Linked DNA regions of Caenorhabditis elegans. The protein of the gene in region 4 purifies or fractionates together with the protein of the main gene of each other region. This does not show direct contact. Each region holds a gene or a part of one and is shown on either strand. Other genes may lie near its edges. The genes, in order: C50F4.12, F21A3.3, rab-14 and clec-170.

What was found.
Region 1: the proteins of clec-170 (region 4) and C50F4.12 fractionate together in Caenorhabditis elegans (co-fractionation; one large-scale study listed by BioGRID). This does not show direct contact.
Region 2: the proteins of clec-170 (region 4) and F21A3.3 fractionate together in Caenorhabditis elegans (co-fractionation; one large-scale study listed by BioGRID). This does not show direct contact.
Region 3: the proteins of clec-170 (region 4) and rab-14 fractionate together in Caenorhabditis elegans (co-fractionation; one large-scale study listed by BioGRID). This does not show direct contact.

The regions. Positions count from the first base shown.
Region 1 is NC_003283.11:9,537,016-9,541,322, forward strand, and holds C50F4.12 (Transcription termination factor 3, mitochondrial), read right to left. Parts: upstream 2,724-4,307; 5' UTR 2,721-2,723; coding exon 2,637-2,720; intron 2,592-2,636; coding exon 2,369-2,591; intron 2,216-2,368; coding exon 1,544-2,215; intron 1,486-1,543; coding exon 1,145-1,485; 3' UTR 560-1,144; downstream 1-559. Other genes in the region: C50F4.4 (COMM domain-containing protein), read left to right, coding at 1-61, 110-190, 236-541; C50F4.16 (Uridine diphosphate glucose pyrophosphatase NUDT14), read right to left, coding at 2,950-3,291, 3,341-3,438, 3,484-3,592, 3,646-3,783, 3,878-4,307.
Region 2 is NC_003283.11:15,516,035-15,520,181, reverse strand, and holds F21A3.3 (EGF-like domain-containing protein), read right to left. Parts: upstream 2,470-4,147; 5' UTR 2,467-2,469; coding exon 2,391-2,466; intron 2,348-2,390; coding exon 2,228-2,347; intron 2,185-2,227; coding exon 2,050-2,184; intron 1,921-2,049; coding exon 1,836-1,920; intron 1,784-1,835; coding exon 1,691-1,783; intron 1,538-1,690; coding exon 1,386-1,537; intron 1,030-1,385; coding exon 831-1,029; intron 709-830; coding exon 636-708; 3' UTR 630-635; coding exon of another isoform or gene 585-629; 3' UTR 509-584; downstream 1-508. Other genes in the region: lgc-31 (Neur_chan_memb domain-containing protein), read left to right, coding at 427-508, 585-629, 3,183-3,292.
Region 3 is NC_003284.9:15,604,067-15,608,347, forward strand, and holds rab-14 (Ras-related protein Rab-14), read right to left. Parts: upstream 2,570-4,281; 5' UTR 2,551-2,569; coding exon 2,445-2,550; intron 2,299-2,444; coding exon 2,054-2,298; intron 1,562-2,053; coding exon 1,443-1,561; intron 1,380-1,442; coding exon 1,217-1,379; 3' UTR 569-1,216; downstream 1-568. Other genes in the region: Protein nipi-3, read left to right, coding at 3,906-4,281.
Region 4 is NC_003282.8:1,265,135-1,272,916, reverse strand, and holds the start of clec-170 (C-type lectin domain-containing protein), read right to left. Parts: upstream 6,052-7,782; 5' UTR 6,042-6,051; coding exon 5,825-6,041; intron 5,541-5,824; coding exon 5,181-5,540; intron 4,225-5,180; coding exon 4,038-4,224; intron 3,992-4,037; coding exon 3,898-3,991; intron 3,835-3,897; coding exon 3,595-3,834; intron 1-3,594. Other genes in the region: F38A1.13 (DUF7154 domain-containing protein), read right to left, coding at 7,069-7,102, 7,325-7,449, 7,491-7,573, 7,620-7,689.

The DNA.
Region 1 (4,307 bases), on a different chromosome or scaffold from region 4:
AGAAACACTATTTGATCAAGAAGAGATGGCTGGAGGTGATTCAGAAGCCCTTTTCAAATTGGTAATTGCAGCATGTTCATTTTTAATACAATTAATTCAAATTTTCCAGTGTCATCAACTCTTGAATGTTTGGAAGTATGCCATTTACTTCCAGCCGAAATCTGAAGTTTTTATTGATACATTACAAGAGGTATAATGAATTTCTAATTAACAATTCAAGAAAATTAATATTCAGAACGGTTATCCTGATGCTGTTGTCAAAGGAATTCTGGAAGCCTATACTTCTGAAACCTTTTCCCAATTATTCGAATCACTTGCTTCATGCTCTCATTCCGGAATTCCACGTGTTCTGTCAACAGACTGGACTTCACGAACAGTTGTACGTCGAAACAATATTCCATCATCCGATCGTGAAGCTGTCCTGACCTTTTCGACTGATCAAGGAGTGAAACAAGTACAACTATGTGCCAAAGACCTAGAAAAATTGTACTGGACTGTAAATAAAGTGCAATCATCATTAGATGGATTACTTGAAAGATAAGAAACGATAAATGATTATTTTATTTTGAACTATATATGCTTGAAATCAGGGGTGTGCGGCAAATCTCAAAAATTGCCGAGCTCGGCAAATTCGGCAATCTCTTTTTTCAATATTTGCCAAGCACGGCAAATTCGGCAAATTTGCCGTGCTTAACAAACTCGGAAAATTTTGATAATTTTTGATGTTTTTTGGAACACCAAAACTACCGAATTCTTAACACACATCTGGTTTCTGAATTAGTCCCGTGTAGTATGTCTGCTTAAGCATAAAACTAACTCAATTTTGTGTCATTTTACTAAATTTTTGGCGAAAAATCAATCAAAATTGTACTGTAAAATTTTTGACGTGTGCGGCAAATTTCGAAATTTGCCGAGCTCGGCAAATTCGACAAATCTACTTTTTTGAAATTTGCCGAGCTCGGCAAACGGCAAATTCGGCAAATTTGCCGCACACCCCTGCTTGAAATCCTAATGTGTATTTTAAATAATATAAATGTGTAAATATGAAAGTAATGAAATTAAATCAACAACCCGCTAATATGAAGTTCCATGGGAGGGCTCTAAATAACAGAAAAAAAACAACAACAAAAACAGGATAACTAAACTATGAATTTCTCAGGAATTTATCAAATGCTACTGGATATGTTTTAGCCGCAAGCATCGCAAAACCAGCATCAGAAGGATGTAAAAAATGTTCAAGGCTAACAAGATCACAGCTTTCTTTTGAAGATCCTTCTGGATCGGTAACTTCAGAAATATCAATTTTCGATTCTTTTTTTTCGGCCAACTGATAATTTGCTCGTCCGAGGCGTTTAAGGAAGTCATGTCTTGACTTTATGACGCTTAATGAGCATCGAAGAATGAATGGATGCTCCAGAATAGTTTCATTGTTGATTTTCATGACGTCGCGAACGTATTTGTAGGTCTTCGATACCAATTTAGAATCTGAAAGTTTTCAATTTTATACTAATTAGTCACTTATTATAAAAAAATGAAATCTCACCCATCATAAAAATTCTTGGATCCTCCATGACTAACATTTTTAGTTGATTTGTAGTGAAGTTGAGTTCTTTGTTAAACATCTTAACAAGTCGTTCAATTGGTCCAGTTCCAAACATTATAATTCGAGGTTCCTTGACGATAATTTCTCTAGTCGCTTTTGCTGATAACTTGAACTGTTGCTGTAACCATCCCAATCGTGAATCAATCAACTGAACATTGCAATTCAACCAATATCTATATTCATCAACGATCTTTAGTCTTTCAGACTTTGTGAATTTCTTAAGCTCTAAATAATTGAGCCTTGTTTGCATATCATTCACATCTTGAATTAAAAAGAACGGATTTCTTGTTAAATATGGACCAATCGCTTCATTTTCAAACCCTATTTCGTTTTGCATCAATTCAATTTTCTGTCGAACGTCTTCTATTTGCAACCGTAGTAGATGCTTTCCAACAGTTGTCGTGTTTTCAATTTCAGCAAGGTCTACACCAATATCAACTAAAAATCGAAGAAGCGGCGAGTGATTTACAAATGGAACAATGGAATGCGAATGAACTGGAGGAAGTTCTGAGGGATCAAATGGGTGAGGATTCGATGGAGACGCTGGTTCAGTGAGGTCAGTATGATCAAGCTCTCCTTCTGTGTATTCAATTTTCCGGTATGTTGCTTTTCCTGAAATTTTTTTATATAGTTAAATTTTCAAATCTTTTAGACCAACTGGTGCTCCGATAAAATAAAATAATTCAACTAATAATGGTGTTTCGGCATTTTTTGAACGAATTTTTCAGAGTATCTGGAAATATAATCAAAATTATGAAACCCTACCAGTTTCAGATTTTAATCTTCGCGCCTCTGCAATAATAGCCGATGAAATTGTTGCTACTTCTCGTGTGTTCTCAATTTGACATTTGTCATCAAAATTTTGAATTATCTCTAAATTAGTTTGACTTTCTTCATCAGTGAGAGAACTTTGAAGACTCTTCTCCGAAACAGTTTTTACTTGCGTTGCAGGTTTGAAGGAAAGATCTGGAGGCTTCTTTGGTGTAATCTTAAATTAGAAATTAGAATAAAAATACGTTACATTAGATATTACCATAGTCATGCCTCTCGTTTGTTGCCGAAATCCAATAATTGCTGTAGTACCCATAAAACGAACAATCGATGCTGGTACTGTCATTGTCTGCATTTAAAAATGTTTAAAATGTCCTGTCCAAGGATATCTCTGACACTCAAAAAAGGTAGATAGTGGTTTCTACACACGAAGTCTCTAGAAATCTCACATTCTGCATGATAAAATAATTTATTATTCATTAAACAGGATGCGTATAAGACACCGGTCTAGATAGGTCTATGTACAATTCGATGGGAAATGTTTTTAAATATAGAAAAGCAGGAATGTATTCGATTTACAGCGTGTCTCTCTCGAGAAGCTGATCAAGAGCAAATCCAATGGCATAGTAAGTAGTTGGTGGTCCTATATTGTGTTGTCGGTACAGAGACGGCAAATCCGCAAAAGAAACACGAAGTTCTTCAATGTCTTCATCTTCTTCCTTCTCACAAAGTCGTGCTTTACTAACATCCACGGCAAAAATAGATTGGGTGTCTCCAGATTGACCGATTCCCGGAATACACTTTGCTTGGAGTTTAAACGAATCTTCTGGAAGATCGTAGCCAAGTTGCTTCACTGAGATTCGAGCGAATTTTCGAGGATCGTCGAAATCCGGAACACGGTTAACAACGAGTTCAAGCTGGAAAATTACATATAATATTGTGGGAAATACAGCATTCTAGACTTACAGTGTATGCAATTTTAGGATCGGAATTCGAGAAATCAATCTCATCCAGAGGCTTTCCAATGTTTTCTTTCAAAAAACGATTTTTTCCAACAAACACCGCTGTAAACTTACATTTCATTAAAGTTCGATTTAAAAATTACTTACGTGCACGGAGTTTCTGCAAGAAAATCAATTCTTTCTTCACCATATCTACAAGAATACATGTAGCTGTGTTTGGACATAAGGCTAAATCCCAGTTGCGGGTTATTCCATTCTACAAGAGATTCTCATTTATACATATAATTTAAGAACTTTACTTCAACTCACAATTGTGAAAATCATTCTCTTTGGATTATAACCATACTTCTTTTTGTCAAAATCAGTGTTGAATTTTACGTTCGAAATGGTTTTTACATTGTGCGGCTGCCATTGATATCCAGTTGGTGGAGTTGCGATGAGCCCTTTCTGTAAAAATTTTAAATGATTGTCGTAAACACACGTTTTTTAAGAAGGGTTTTTCCAGTCTTCAAAAGTTAAATAAAAATATGCTTTTATTCACCTTTTTTGGATCCAAAACCAAAAACCACCATTGAAAAGCAAAAAGAACGCCTGGAGGTCCTTTCACTTCTGCATGTGTTCCAATAGCAGGGCGTGCAATTTCACGTGCAACGTTGACAGGGTAATAAACTTTAGTAATTACTTCTCCCTCATGAACATTTCCACCTCCTTCGCTGATTTTCATGGATTCGTCGATTTCCGCGTAATATAAATGTTGAGCACTTCCAGATTGATGAGCACCCACAACAAATGTTATTACATGAATTAGATCATCAGGATCCACACGATATCCACATTCTTCAGCAACTTCTTCTGATGCAATTTCTCTAGGAGATAATCCTTCCTTGTCAATTAGTCCAGCACAAAGTTCAATGGTGTAGCCAGTTTCAGAATCATAGCTGCTCCAGTCAATTTTATCAAATTCTTTACCG
Region 2 (4,147 bases), on a different chromosome or scaffold from region 4:
TCAAAATCTCTTCATAGACTCTATTCCTATCTCTAGTAGAACTCCTTCACTAAAAAAACCATCGACAAGAGAGTTCGGCTTCTGGTGAAAAATTAAATTAAGCCCCTCTCAATTCCTTTTTAGCAAATAGTTTCTTGCGCGCCACCGAATTCAATTGTTCCGTGGTCCGGAGAAAGTGGTAATGAAAATGGATTTTCAATGAGAGAATGCACTGGAGTGTGTGGCACAAAGTTCTAAATTTGATTATGTATATACAGTACGGTTTTTCTGCAAAAAAGATGACCTAGATAAGGGACTTTTGAACTTCGTGGCCGACACCTCGCGGGTTTTTAACTTCCACTGCAATCCTACGCAACCCGTGCGGTGTCGCATGCCCCGTAACAAAAATGTCTTCCTGATCAATTTTTACACCTGCAAAACTTTCAGAAAAGGCACACGTCCAGTGACCCATCCGAAAAAGGTGATCTCAGTTTCGATGAGCGTATTCCTGTATCAAATCGTTAAGCTGGTAAGTTTTTATTTCGAATTTCTACAACAACAAAAAATCAATAATAAAATAGACCCGTTTCAATAAATCATTTCAGGACGCCGTCAAGAACACCATCAGTCTGTCGGGCAGCTTTGAGTTGGTGAGTTTACAGGGACTTTCGCTTTTTCTCAACGGGTGTCGGGATAAGATCCGTCATGTAGTTGAACACTTTTTTGTACCTGGAAAATTGAGGTTGATCTCGAGCAAGTGTATTTTAATGTGCAGAAAACGTGGCAAAAGAATTTTACAAAAATATGACGTCATTAGATTTGCCGCGCTTTCTCAAGATCATACGGTAAACCTTTTCAACCATTTGGTTGTAACTCCACGGCCATCAACCATCACAACCCGTTCTTCCAAAGAGTTGGCATTTATCAAATTGAACATTCTCTTTGACTTGACAATTTCGTCTCGGAACACTCCAGCCATTCCCTTCTTATATTTGGTTTCCAATCGGATTTGGGTACCGCGCACAGTTCCTTCCTCGATGAGCATTAGACCTGAAGAAATTTGTAGCTCAAGTGGGTGGTGAAGAAAATGGTCTGCGTCTCGTGTCGCCGAAAATTTTGGGATTCTCGGCTAATAACACTAGCCGGCAAATGACACTCCTGACATCCTAGTGTGCTCCTTTAGGAACCTAGATTGCCCATCGGCTTGGTCATCTTATCCGCGACCCTAGAATCAATGACAGCGGTAGCGCTAGCTTTCTGTTTCATTATACCCCCTCTTTGTTACATAGTTCTAGAAAGGTGACAAAGCTTGACAGAAAGTTGAGACCATAGACCACTTGCCGAGACCTGGGTCGCTATGCCGTGGGTTAGCGAGAACAATTCCGCAGCGTAAAATTAACCGTTACCTGTATTAGTCACAAGCTCAATCGACACCAAATCGTCCCCTTCGTCCGGTTTGTTCAACTCCACAAAACCCGTATCCTCGTGGAAAGGTTTAGACGTCAAAAATCCGAATTCCACGTGGACATCGGTCCCATCAAGCGTCTCGGCTCGCACTCTACAAGTTGTAGGTTGTTATTCATCGGGGCGCATTTGCATACATCCCATCAAAAATGCCAAAACCTCAAAGCTCAAAACCCTTGAACAACAAACAAAACAAGTAAAATATCGAATAACATCACACGATAGACATAAAATTTTTCTGACTTACGAAATATTAACCGGCGGTCTGTCAAAAGAGGGAACTTCCGAAATTTGAACGTCCAAGATTTCCTTGTAAGGTCCGGACATTGGCTCCGGAAATCTAAAAGTTTATAGAACATATGCCAACCTATTCAAAAATTATTCTTATTTACCTATGATGAGCACTTGTCTTTGACTCCCATCTGCCCACAAACCACTCAATGTTGTCGAGAATTGGTGGAAGAGCGAGCGCCAGCTCTGGAAAAAACAAGAATATCTTGGGGTCCAAAAGAGCTATCAAAAAGTTGTCAACTGATAAAGTGTTTAGCATAAAATTTCCTACATTTTGTCAGTGGACAACATTTTGTGAGGAATGACAAAACTCACGCTTTCCGTTATTTTTGCATTGGCCGCAGGACAAAGCACAGTTGTCAGCGAAAAATGGAGAAATCGGCCGCGTCCAGTGACAGCGTTCTTCTGACTTCCACCGAGCACAACTTTTGTAGACATCTTGGCATGGTCCTAAAAAATTGGGTTTTTGGGTCTCGACGCGAAAACTGGTTACTTTGACATCTTCTACCCATAAGTCCAAATGGGCATTCACACCGATTTCCTAGTGACAATTCCATGCACTTTCCGCCGGGACCACACGAATTCGGTTCGGACGGAGAGCAAAAATCGATTACTGAAAATTTCCGAATTGATGTGCCGCAGAATGCGAAACTTACTTGTTTTTGTCATGGTCTGTGAATAGGTACATACGGCTAAAGAAGATAAAAATAAAACTAGGTTTATCCTGGTCATGGTCTGCAATGTTTGAGGGGTCATTAGATCCATAAAGCAAAAAGGAGGGGAAAGGGGGGAGGGGGGAAAAGTGAGAATACAATAATAAATAAAAAGATGCGCAAATGCCAAAACGACACGATGCCAAACGCCGATAGTAATGAGAAATACACACGAAAGTGAGAATAAACACACGCGCATATACAAGTGGACAATTCCATTTGAAGGACGCGCCTGTTTCCTCAAAAGCATGTCAAACGAAAAAAGTAGGTCCTGGCCGGGTTCGAACCGGCGACCTTCTGTGTATGAAGCAGACGTGATAACCACTACAGGACCCGCCGAAATTCGGCTGTTGAGGGGTTCAACACACACAGAGGGGTTCAACAAATTAGCATGACCGTAATAAGCTACTCAAAAAATGAGGTACATCGAAAACGATGATTTGGGAATAAAAATGGAAATTGGCGAAAAGGAAGGAGAATATTGAAGGTCGTTCAAGACCAGTTGACACAAGTACTTGATAAGGGAAGGCCAACACATCGAGGAAGTTAAGAGGGGGCGGGTTGGGGGCCAAATGTAATGTTACAGCAGTTTGTGGCGGTAGAAAACTGCAAAAATAGATCTCACTGGAACCGAGGGAACTGAAAAAGTTTGCATAGGACACAAGAACTTATCCGACGTGGCCCGCAAAACGTCGGCTGCGCGCTACTATCTATTTTAATATACGATCATTGCAGTACTGGGAAGACGAATTCTTGAAGTGGAACCCGTCGAGCTACGAGGGAGCCGAAGAGATTTTCCTGTCGAGTTCCGATATTTGGATCCCCGAATTTTCGTTGTACTACAGGTGATTTAATGAGTACAGACAAAAAATGAACACTTAATAAAAGTGAGAGTGAAAGGGAAAATAAGTGAGAGAATAGTAAAAAATGATGGGTGGAAATTGAGGAACGTAAGTAGGAACGGAGAAGAGATAATGATCGAAAATCGTCAAAACTCCTCTGCAGAAATCGAACCATTGACTTTCTGGGCCTGAGCCATCCGTGTTCACCACTGCGCCATTTGAGCGCGCGGACCGGAATTTTAGTTGGCACGAAAGGTCAAAGTTTCGCGAACTTTTCTTTCTCTTTTACACTGTTCGAGTATCTAAATTAGCTTCTCGTCACTTTTTTTCTCTCGCGAACAGCAGATAAAAACACATAAATCTCATTGTACTAATCACTTTTTTTTATTATCCTATCTCTATTATCGCCTAAGATTTTATTATGTGTAAGAAAAAAAAATTATTTCTAGAAAAAAATCGAACCCATTGTAAACTGTATAGCAAACTGTATAGCTTGCTACAATAGAATTTTTAAAAATACGTTAAAAAAGCCAATTTTGAGAGATGTTAGGTCCTGGCACGAGCGAAACTTTTCGGCTATCGTAGCCATGATTTAAAGGCGCACGCATTTATTCGGATGGGTCTCGCTGCGAAAAAGCTTACGGTAGTTTTTTTTTTCTGAAATGGCTTCTTTTGGAAAATGACAAATAAAAAACTGAAAAAAACTTAGCGAATATCAAGAATTCTCAGAAACTTGTAATTCACAGTTAGCACGAATAAATTTCCAAAAATAGAAATCAACACTCTATGCGCCTTTAAATGTTCAATATTTTGAGTTAGAGCACAGTTTAAGACTTCTATGGAGTGATAGAGAGACGC
Region 3 (4,281 bases), on a different chromosome or scaffold from region 4:
TTCGGCAAATTGAATTGTCGACAAATTGCGGGGTTGCCGATTTGCCTGAAATTTTCATTTTCGGCAAGTTGCCGATTTGCCGTTTGCCGAATATCAGATTTCCCGGAAATTTTTAGAGGGACTTTTTATAGAACGGAAACTCTTAAAACCGTTTTTTTTTGAATTTTTTCCGTTTTGTCTACATATTTTCATAGAATTTGCTTACTTTTCGAAATAGATGTAGGAATATTCATAGGATGCGTAAAATTTTGTCATTTGAAATTGGAATTCTAAAATTTCCAAAAAAATAAGTGCGAAACCACAATTTGCAGAAATTTTTTGGCAAGTTTCTTTTTTTCCAGCAAATTTGGCGAATCGGCAATTTGCCGATTAGCCGATTTGCCGGAAATCTGCAATTCCTGCAATCTGCCGATTTGCCGATTTGCCGGAAACAATCGTTTGCTGCCCACCCGTGACTAGAATCCCATTTCAGCCACGGATTACTCTGTCATTAGAAAAATTTACGCACACTTGAAAACACATTTGACTATTACTGGTGATGTTAACTTTGAAGATTGAGCACTTCATGCTTCAATGAATAGTTTTTTTAAATATTATATGTACAATTGAATTTTGCTGAAAAATGATTAAACAAAAAAAATAAATTTTGAAAAAGTTTTCTGAAATCATAGGTTCATAAAACTAACAACAGAGAACTATTTATAAGGAAAAGTGACAAAAATGACAAAAATCGTTAGTTTTTTTGATTTTCAAAGCACAATTATAGCACTTAATGGGGTGGGATCATATAGATGTTTCTTATCACACAAGGAATGGGGGAAAAATGTTCAAAACGGTTTTTGACAGAAAAAATCTACTAAATATGCAGTTGGTTGGGTGAGCGAAAGTGTTATATTATGAACGGTTCACAGTTCGATGATGATAGTGAGTAATGGGTGGGGGACTGAAAAAGACTGGGAATTGGTAAGTAAAAGTGACACAAAGTTCTGAATTTCAGAGTAGTTTTATAGTGATTACAAGTTTAGATTTTGACAGGCAACTAGAATTTGGAAACAAGAAACCATACCACCCAATGTTGATTCTTCTGGCATTTTAATGATAATGGGTGACAAGCTCTCACATACAGATAGACGGATTAGAAAGTAATAATTTAAAAAAATACATTAAAATCAATTGGGAATGATTTGAGGGGAAGAAGGGACTTTGCACACATCAACTAGCAGTTGCAGTCCTTCTTCCCATTATTTTCAGCTGCACGTGGCAAGTTCTGTTTTGGCTGGACGCCAGTGTCGGCGGCGTTCAAGTCCAAACTTCCGTCTTGGATATTCTGATAGATTTGCTTGGCCGTTTCGAGGAAAGCGTCTTCGACGTTACTGCCACTGAAAAAAAAGCCATTTGAAATTGATGAATTTGCAGTGGGGGGGTGGGGGGAAGAAACTTACGTCTTCGCACTGCACTCCAAGAAAGTGAGCCCGTTTTCTTCGGCGAAAGCTTTTGCTTCCTCGTATGGCACGTCACGTTGATCTTCGAGGTCGGCTTTGTTTCCGATAAGAAAGATGGCCTGAAAAAGGAACTTGTGAGAATTGGTGCTTGAATCTCATTTTTATTGTAAAATTAAATCAGTGCAAAGTGGACGAAATACTGTTTTCTTACTAATACAGGTAGATTTTTAACTCTCCAAATAAAACTAGATAACCCAATTTTAACTCGTTTTTTTTAGATATTAGTTTAACGATAAAACACACAATTTAGAGCACATACAGATTGAATGTTTTCCAGCTTAAATCTGATTCATGAGAATTTTGATTGAAATTCAGTTTATAGTCTACGATCTTTTGAGCTGCAAATAAATGTTATGCTTGCAAAAATTCATAAATTGCAATTTACTAAACATGGCGTACATCTATGTAGTTTTGAAATTTTGCTGAAAGTTCAAATTCGCTTTAATTTTGGAACTTGGGAATGCTTTTATAAAGTATAAATTCGAGTTTTTATATATTTTTCAACCCTACTTTTGAGTAAAAATTATAAACCAAGTATATATTTTACCTACCGTATTTGGATTGGTCAAGCTTTTTGCGTCGGCCAACCAGCTGCTCAAATGATTGTAGGTAGAACGGCGAGTGATGTCGTAGACCATCAAGGCTCCGGCTGCTCCACGATAATATGATCGCGTCACAGCGCGGAATCGCTCCTGGCCCGCCGTGTCCCAGATTTGAAGCTTGATCTTCTGTCCGCTGACCTCAATAATCCTGGTGCCGAATTCCACGCCGATTGTGTGCGGGCAGTCGGCCATGACTGAAAGTTAGTTATAGTTAGTTTTTGCGTTTGTTGCCCGCAGTGATTGTACGGTGGTTATTGACCGGAGGAACAGGTCTCTTGTTGATGACTAATGTTGACACAAACAACATGATATATCGATTTTCCAGGAATGCGGGACTTACACTTCTTTTCTGTGAACTGATGAAGAAGACACGATTTTCCGACACCCATATCACCAATAATAATATATTTGAAAATATACGAATAATTGTAAGGAGCAGCCGTCATTTTTATGTGTTTTTGTTACCTGAAAGTTGCGGATTATATTTTGGTTATTCGTTTCAGAAAAAAGGATACAAAAAAGTAGCAATGAGAATAGATAGACCACACAAAAGAAAGTGGCTATTAGAGACTGACTGCCAAGTTGTCATTAGTTGGAAGTAGGGGAAAACCGACGGGGAGAGAGAGACAAATGTGGAAGTAGTTGGGATAGAGAAAGATGAACGCCACGTCCAAAAGCAATAGAGAATCCATTGGCCTCCAGAAAGCTAAAAGAGGCAATGTCGGAGAGAGAGAGAGGAGCAGTTGTACGAGGAGTGCTACGCAATGGAATATCACGAGGAAAGAGACACTGGACAAAAACGGGGGCCCCTCCATTCCTCTATCTCTGTCTTCTCTGAGAAACGACGCGTCGCGTACTATCGACCGCGACGCTTGCAACGGAACTGGTCTCTACTGCGTGTCTCTAACGTCTCGCTCTCGGTGTGCGCTGTACTGTGCTGTCTGACTCTCGCCTTATGTGCCGCGTAGGAGACGGATTGGAGATGAAGAAAAAAACACGTAGAGAGACAAAAAGAGAGAAGAGTGAAATGACGAGTGAATGCGCACGTGTGTGTGGGCTCTAGCTTTTCTCCTTATTCATCTGTCATTGGTGTTGAGCCAGCTATCTTTTTCCTTGTTCCAAAGAGATCATGCTTTTTCTTTTTCATATACGTAGATGCCTAAGACATGGAAAAAACAATTATTTCCTCCTGCTTCTTGTTTTGCTCTTCAAATTCATCTTCAGAACAGAGTAAAATACTATAATATTAAATATGCTTAATAGCCTAATCAAATTGCAAATTATGACTTCAATTTCCAACCATGGCTCCCCTAATCGGTTACAACTCGTTTGTGAACAGTCTTACAGTTCTCGAGACATTTGATTTTATCACTATTCGACCATCTACCCACTCATTCTCTATCTCTCGTTTCGGTCCCCGTAGTTTCCTTCTCTGACACTTGTGTTGATCGTAGTGCCGCGATGATATTTCGCAATACCTGCTGATGCACGAGCTTCTCTCATCGCCACGCGCTCTCTTCCGATTCCTCTCGTCGTTTCTGTGATATGTGAAGAAGGGCGGTCCTCCCTCTAGTCATCTACAATGTAGTATTGCGAAATATTAAAAAAAAAAAAAACGGAAAATTCATTGTGAAACCCTCGCAGCCAGTAATGTTTCGCAATAACACCCCTTCATTCTTACCAATTCTAGGGTTATCATTCTTTGCATTTTCTTGTCTGTAGTCTACCAACTTTATCTCATTTGCTTCTTCTCCTTTTGTAACAATGTTCCCTAAACATTATTTTTTTTGTTTTTCAGGGTATGGCTCGTACAAAATGCAAAACCAAAACCGTAGCCAATCCTAGAACTGGAGTCAGAAAAACCGCAAAAGATCTTTCTGAACCAGTTCGTCAGGATGCCGTTTCAAGAAGGAGGCCCACAACTCTTCCTTTTGTTGGAAATACCTCAAGTCGTCCAAGGGTGTTTTACGATGTTCTAGCCAAGAAGAATGTCGTCTTCCCAAATGTCAAAGCAGAGTACCACTATAGAGTTCGCAATGCTCCGAAGATTGATCCAAAGAATTTTGGCACGACGCTTCCAATCTGCTATTCTTCAATCGGACCTGCAAAAACACTTGAACTTCGTCCACTGGGTCGTCTACCCCCGCACATCATCAAAGCGTTGAATGATCACTACG
Region 4 (7,782 bases):
CACTTTTACCGTATTACACGGTAGCACAGAAACTAGATGGATTGGTTCATGATACTCAGTCTGAAAACCTATATTGGCCACTATCTCGAAAACCGTCACAAAATCGATTTTGCGATGCATACAGTGTGGGAAAGTTCTATAGGACCCCCCCTAATTTGAAGGTTTGAGGAACTTCCGAAAATTTTTTCGAAAAACTGCTAATGCCGTTCGTTTTTAAATTGAAAAAAACCTATATAAATTTTTTTCCAGAAGTTTATCTCAAAAACTGAGGTCGCGCTGGAAAAAACGTCAAAATCCAGTGTGAAACTTCTATAGGACCCCCCGTTTTTTTTCACGATTTTTACTAAAATCAACAGATTTTGGAATTTTTGACAAAGCTCAAATCAAGTTTGAGTTAGAAATGAGTTCATATAAGCAGCTTTGACTTTAAAAAATTAATACGAAATGTTCTCGTGGGATCTCCAGACTGGTTCTGATTCTTCCGATCTTTGATGTTCAAGTCTGTTTCAAGCTTCCTGGTGCTCTCGGTAATGCCAAAACTTGATAAACTCTCTTTAACAAGTTCCTACTAAAATTCCTAGCACGCACTTTAGATGTTTCGACTGTGTAGTCAAGCTGATTTGGCAAAATATGCAGCAGGAAACAATGGAAGGCTTATCAGGAATCAAATCGTTTTTCTTTGATTACAAGGTTCCATGGGACCAATATTTCAAGTTAAATTGTCCCTCACAGATGTTATTTACTATTTTTTGCGTGAATTATTAAATGTGGAATTGTGGCATGTGTTGTGGCACACATATAGAGGCTGGAAAGCTTACTTCGAAAGCAGTCTAACTTGCAATGCCTCGAGGATCTGCCCTTTCGGACACTGAACGCGCTCAGCTGGATGTTATGAAATTGCTCAATGTGTCCCTGCATGAAATGAGTAGGAAAATTTCCCGTTCTCGACACTGTATTCGCGAGTATCTGAAGGATCCGGTGAGCTACGGTACATCTAAAAGAGCTCCTCGTCGCAAAGCTCTCTCCGTGCGTGACGAACGAAATGTGATTCGTGCTGCCTCCAACTCCTGTAAGACGGCAAGAGATATTCGCAATGAGCTTCAATTGTCTGCTTCAAAAAGGACCATCCTCAATGTCATCAAACGATCTGGTGTAATCGTTCGTCAGAAACTTCGCCCTGCTCCGTTACTCTCTGCAGACCATAAACTCAAGCGATTGGAATTTGCTAAGAACAATATGGGAACGAATTGGAGTAAAGTGAGAATTTAAAAAAGCAAGAGTGAATAATTAGGATCATTGTTTTAGGTTGTCTTCTCCGATGAAAAGAAATTCAATCTCGATGGGCCTGACGGTTGCCGCTACTATTGGCGCGATTTGCGCAAGGAACCAATGGTTTTTTCGAGACGTAATTTTGGAGGAGGAACGGTGATGGTTTGGGGAGCGTTCACGGAGAAGAAGAAGCTTGAGATACAGTTCGTCAGTAGCAAGATGAACAGCACTGACTATCAGAACGTCTTGGAACTGGAGCTCTCCAAATATCTTCGTCACTACTCCAGAAAAGACTTTAGATTTCAGCAGGATAATGCGACAATCCATGTGAGCAACTCAACCCGCGACTATTTCAAGCTCAAGAAGATCAACCTTCTTGATTGGCCAGCTCGAAGTCCTGATCTCAATCCAATCGAAAATTTGTGGGGGATTCTTGTCCGTATCGTGTATGCTCAGAACAAGACTTACCCAACAGTTGCATCGTTGAAGCAAGGAATTCTCGACGCTTGGAAGTCTATTCCGGACAACCAGCTGAAAAGTTTGGTCAGATCAATGGAGGACAGACTGTTTGAGATCATCCGCACACAAGGAAACCCGATTAACTATTGATCCTTTCTTGATTTTAGTATATGAATGTTCTGTTGTTGATCAAAAATAACTGCAACTTGTTAATACGCTGTTTCTGACTGGTTTCTTGGGGATGGCGTAAAAATGTTTATGGTGTGTGTGCTAGGAATTTTAGTAGGAACTTGTTAAAGAGAGTTTATCAAGTTTTGGCATTACCGAGAGCACCAGGAAGCTTGAAACAGACTTGAACATCAAAGATCGGAAGAATCAGAACCAGTCTGGAGATCCCACGAGAACATTTCGTATTAATTTTTTAAAGTCAAAACTGCTTATCTGAACTCATTTCTAACTCAAACTTGATTTGAGCTTTGTCAAAAATTCCAAAATCTGTTGATTTTAGTAAAAATCGTGAAAAAAAACGGGGGGTCCTATAGAAGTTTCACACTGGATTTTGACGTTTTTTCCAGCGCGACCTCAGTTTTTGAGATAAACTTCTGGAAAAAAATGTATATAGGTTTTTTTCAATTTAAAAACGAATGGCATTAGCAGTTTTTCAAAAAAATTTTCGGAAGTTCCTCAAACCTTCAAATTAGGGGGGGTCCTATAGAACTTTCCCACACTGTATAAGAAATGACCGCGATGAAATTATCTATATTTATTGTTGATGAATTTTCGATTTTGTACTTCCCGACCAAGTTATGCACGTTTGTTCGGTGGAGCGCGTTCGCACCCATCTAGCAACTGAAGCACCGTGATTGAACACGGTGGTTCACATGGTGGTACAGAAACTAGATGAGTGCAAACGTGCTCTACCGAACAAACCCTAATTTGACCGGTTAGGAAAGTTTCAATCAAAAAATTTCTCAATAGAAAAGATAGAGAATTTTCTTGCGGTCATTTTTCATATGCATCGCAAAATAAAATTTGGGGTTAGTTTTCGAGATAGTAGCCAATATAGGTTTTCAGACTGAGTATCATGAACCAAGCCATCTAGTTTCTGTGCTACCGTGTTCAGTTGCTAGATGGGTCCAAACGCGCTCCACCGAACATAGGGCAGTCATGAGGGTCGTACCCTTTTGGGAGACGCTCCTTTTTTGGGGGGGGGGGGGGGGGCGACGCGTTCCCGTCCCCATACTGGGGGACGAGGGATGTTCCTTGTCCCCAATATCAGGACGTCCCCTTTTACTTTGGGTCAAAATTTGATCTTTTTCATTATCACCCAAACTAAAAACACATCTTTACGTGATATTAGGACCAATTTCCACGGTCTGGTATGTGACGTAAATTTTTAAAACAAGATCCGTTCTGTTCAAATTTGATTTCTATGCACCGGGGACGTCCTTTTTTTCGACCCGCGACCCGTCGTGGTCGGGTCGACGGTTCGCATGTCGGACCCAAATGGGACGCGGCAAAAAAATGTGAAGAAATAAAATTTATTTTTTGTAATACAGTGCATTTTTTTTCCACTTCTACAACTTTAAAGGGGGCGCATTTACGCGGAATGGTCTCGCCACGCGTTATCCATTGATTTTTGAAGCGCGTGGCGAGACCAATGGCGGGACCATTCCGCGTAAATGTGCCCCCTTTAAAGTTGTACAAGTGGAAAAAAAAATGCACTGTAATATAATTGCGATCATGTTTCCAAACTATGCAATGGGTTCCGGGTCGACCCTTTTCGATCCATCGACACCTCTAATATTGCTCGCGTAAATACGGTTATAAGGTACGTAAAATGTAAAAATGTGTATCGTCACTCACGTTATGAAAGTCTCTGCCTTTTCCAATATTATACAGTCCATTCGTTTTGGAAGTTAGACTATGAATCGCTTTTGATTGAGTTCCGCCTGATGGATCAGCGGAACAAAGTGCATGAACTATTCCATGATGTTGTCTCACAAGTGATACTGTTTTTGAAATATCCCAATCGTTTGGATAACGTTTCAAAAGAATTAAGACAATTGATCCGCAAATAGGAATTTTGTTACTGTTGTAGAATTTCTTTAAAGTAGTAAAATGAATGTTTTGGATGAAATTTCCTGTAATCCGACAAAAAATACATACCTCAACCATTTGAAGTGCGTCACTCCCTGCCTTTTTGTCTCTAAATCCCAATTTGGAATCAGGAAGATGGGAGTACACATATGACTGGGCGTCTCTAAATTTTGATTTCAAGAATGAACAGTTTTGATAAAAATAAATACCCAAAATCCGTGAAATAAACAATGCTTTCTTCTACACGCACATCAAATCTTGCAATTGCATATCCGGAGCATGGGGTAACTTTAAAAGGATATCCGTCCCACGCTTTTTTCACAGTTTGCGCACCGTAATCATTTGAAAATGCAAAAAGTATTGTCCCATTTTCAGTTGGCTTGCAAGAATTTTCTTCTGAACAGATAGGCTTTGAAATTTCAATTTAGGGAGCTGACAAATTAGGGGTACTAATTTTGCCTAAAAAGTTGTCGACTGTGACTGGCTATTTAGAAGCAGAGGCGGGCGTATTTCCAAATTTTCGGATATTTGCTACTATATCGGATGATTGGAATAAAGTTGGAAAACATCTATAGTGATCACTTCTCTACATCTAAGGTTGTCCGCGCATGTCTGTAGAAATTTTTGCTCGTTGGTTCAATTCTATCAACTGACAATCCTTTTTTACTCAGAATATGAATAAATTTTGTGCAAAACCAGTTGTCTCGGTTTACGTCTACAATAACTCTCGTGTACAACTACCGTACCCCGATCTTTCAAGACGACTCGCAAAAACCCCCTAAAACAAGCGGAGAGCCAGCTAGTCAGTAATTTAAAAAAAACTTTTCGAGCAGTTCAAATTTTTGATTACATGAGAAAAACAACAAAGCTATCAAAAATTGAGCAAAATTTTTTAATTCAAACTTAATCACAACGGAATACTTTTTTTACGGATGTGCTTTTAATTAGAAAAAAAAGATATATAAATAGTTTGCACTTAAAAACTTTACCTTTAGTCAGACTTTGTCTAAACTTGGATGAAAAAAAAAAAAAAAAACTTTTTTTTGGCAAAATTTGTGCAAAAAGCTGCTGAGAGCTAAAGTTGGTGCGAGAAGCTGCAGGTAAATGCCGATAGTATAATCAAAGTTTCAGAAAAATAAATTTATTTCTTATCCTTGTTTATATTTTTACTTTATTGAAGATTGAGCGCTCATAATTTAAATCAAGAGTGCTGGTTTTTATTGGTTTTGAAGTTCATAAATCCAAAAATTTTTGTTTTTGACAAACCTGTTATTGGTTCTTGAGTCGAAGTAATAACTGGAGGTGAAAAAGTTGGTGGAGCAATTGGATTATAACTTTTTACGTTTACTAACCTGTAACTGGCATTCTCTGAGTTGTAGAAATAACTGGAGTAATTTTTTGAGTCGTAGAAACTAATGGAGGTGCGAAAGTTATAGGAATTTGTTGAGTTGTTGAAATGCTCGGAGGTGAAAAAGTTGGTGGAGCAACAGGACTATAACTGCACACAAACAAGTTCTTGTCGTTCTCTCCAAATGCATTCCATTTTGTGTTCACCACGCTTTGAGCCAAATAATTTTGACCGAGTTGAGTGCCGAAGTTTGTGTAAGTCACTGGACTTCCATTATCCCAAGCGAATGGACTTGAAGAACTGTTTCGACTCAGTCCAATCCAAAAACTTCCGCTGTTTGTTTCAAATGCCGTTCGAGCGTCAGCTAAAAATTATAAAGTGTTCACATGTAACTTTCTCAGATGTGTTTTGTTTCTAATAATATTCTGTTGAAAGCCTTTAGAAAGGACACAAAAAAGTTCTTCAGAGTTTGAAAAAGTTTCACCACTTTATAGCGGTTCAATCCCAAAGTCTCTATTACATTCACCACATCAACAGTTGTCCTAATACTAGTATGGTTTTTTTGTAATCTTTTTTTGAAGGCTAGAAATACGAATGAGGCTCTTTTTATCATTTGACAGTGCAATTTCGATAAGATTAACAACTCACAGGCCAAAAAACTGCTGGTGTACTGATCAGGAACATATGCCAAATAAGAAGAAGTGACTGGATTTTGGTAATGACACCAATTACGAGCATCATTAAATGTCAACTGTTGGGACACGAACGTGAAACATAACCCTTTGATTTCCTTATCTCGACTGTCAAGACACGCACTGTGTGCAAATGAAGCAAGAACAAGGGGAAGAAATAGTTGAAGTATCATTTGAAGTCAACTGAGAAAACATTTGATAAGAAATGGTTTTTTATGTATTAGGCCTTTTGATAAGTTTTTCTGTTTTTTTTTTCTTAGATATGTGGTTATATTGAAGACTTTTAGTAGTGATACGCCTAACAATATCACCTATATCGGATTACTTTCTGATATTTTAAATCTGATAGACAGTACTGTGATGACGAAAAAAAAAGTTTTCGATAAAAAAAAAACTTTTTGGCGAAATTAAAAAGTTGTCCTCACAGTTCTGAGCTTTATCATGGTCCGATATGACTTAAAATTAGGTATTTTGTTATGCTTACCATTTCTAACAGTCTTCTATATAACCAAAAAAATATCTAAGAAAAAATTAAACTTGGGGAAAAAAAACGACAAAACTTATTGAAGTGCCTAATAGTTGAATCGGCCTGGTTTATCAGTCAAATGAGAAAATTTCAACATTCACACGCTATGTACCGAATTTTGGCGACTCTGTACAATTGGCAAGATAAAATTCGTTTACACTGATAAAGTTCAAACCGTTTTTAATTCCCGATTCCTTTCGCTGCATTCATTACTTCAATTCTTCCCATAACTGAACTGATAAGGAAAAAACTGACTTTAATACTTTTTCTTGTGACTATTTGCCATAATTTTTGGGTTGTTGGTAATTGTAAAACAATTTTTTAAAAGTTTCTGATCTAATGTTTACTTCTATGATAAACGTCTGACTTTCGTATTGCATGTTCATGTATTATTTTCCGGGTCAATTTATCTTTTCTGAGTATTTTATAAATTAAAAAAAAAACAATTGAACAATGTTTCCAGGCACCAAAACTAGTAACATTTTGGAGATATATAAAACATGTCGAGAGAATATAACTTATCGGAATTTGTTCAAATCAGAGTTTTTTTGCTGAAATTCGCTATTTTTCTAAGTTTATTTTAGTTAATACAATGCATAAAATAATGTCGAGCGAAAATAATTTTTATTGGAATTTGTTTAAATCAGAGTCCAATCAGCCGAGTTTGAAATGCCTTAGCCACAGTATGGAAGCCAATATGGAAGAGGACTGAAATAACAAAAAATTGTTCAATCGATTTTTTAATTTGTCTTTTTATCCGCAAAATACATTGAAAATGATAAAAATGATTGTGACTTCCGTGTATACGCAGTTTTTAAAAAATGTTTAAAGGTGTAGTAGCCTCAATTTGGATTTGTCCTAAAACTTTTAAAATTGCAATTTAATTTCGTTACAATCTGATCAGAAAAAACTGATTTTTTCAAGCACTACCTTTTACAGTACACTCTGACTCGAGTGGCTTCTTCAGCTCCATTCGTGTAATTATACTGTAGTTTCATACTGTAAGTCACCGGGCTAAAAGTAAACCAATTACCGGCAAGGATTCCATTAAAATCCTAAATTTTGTGATATTAATGAAATACGTCATTTTAATTACCGCCGGGTAAGCTTTCAAGTCACCGCCGCTGTAGTTGTCGTTGGTTATGGAAAGATTGAGTGACCGAAAGGAATCTATGGGAACTGAAAGATTAAATAATGTTTTAAAAGTAAAAGAACAAGAACCTACGGTGATCTTGAATTGTTAAAGTCACCCAACAATATCTAGAGAACGGAACGTTCATTGATGGCAACTCCATCATGTTTTGACTAGAGAGAATCGGGTTAGCACAGTAAATTGGATAAGGAGGATCATAAATAGGAATATGACCCATTAACTGAAAAACTGAATG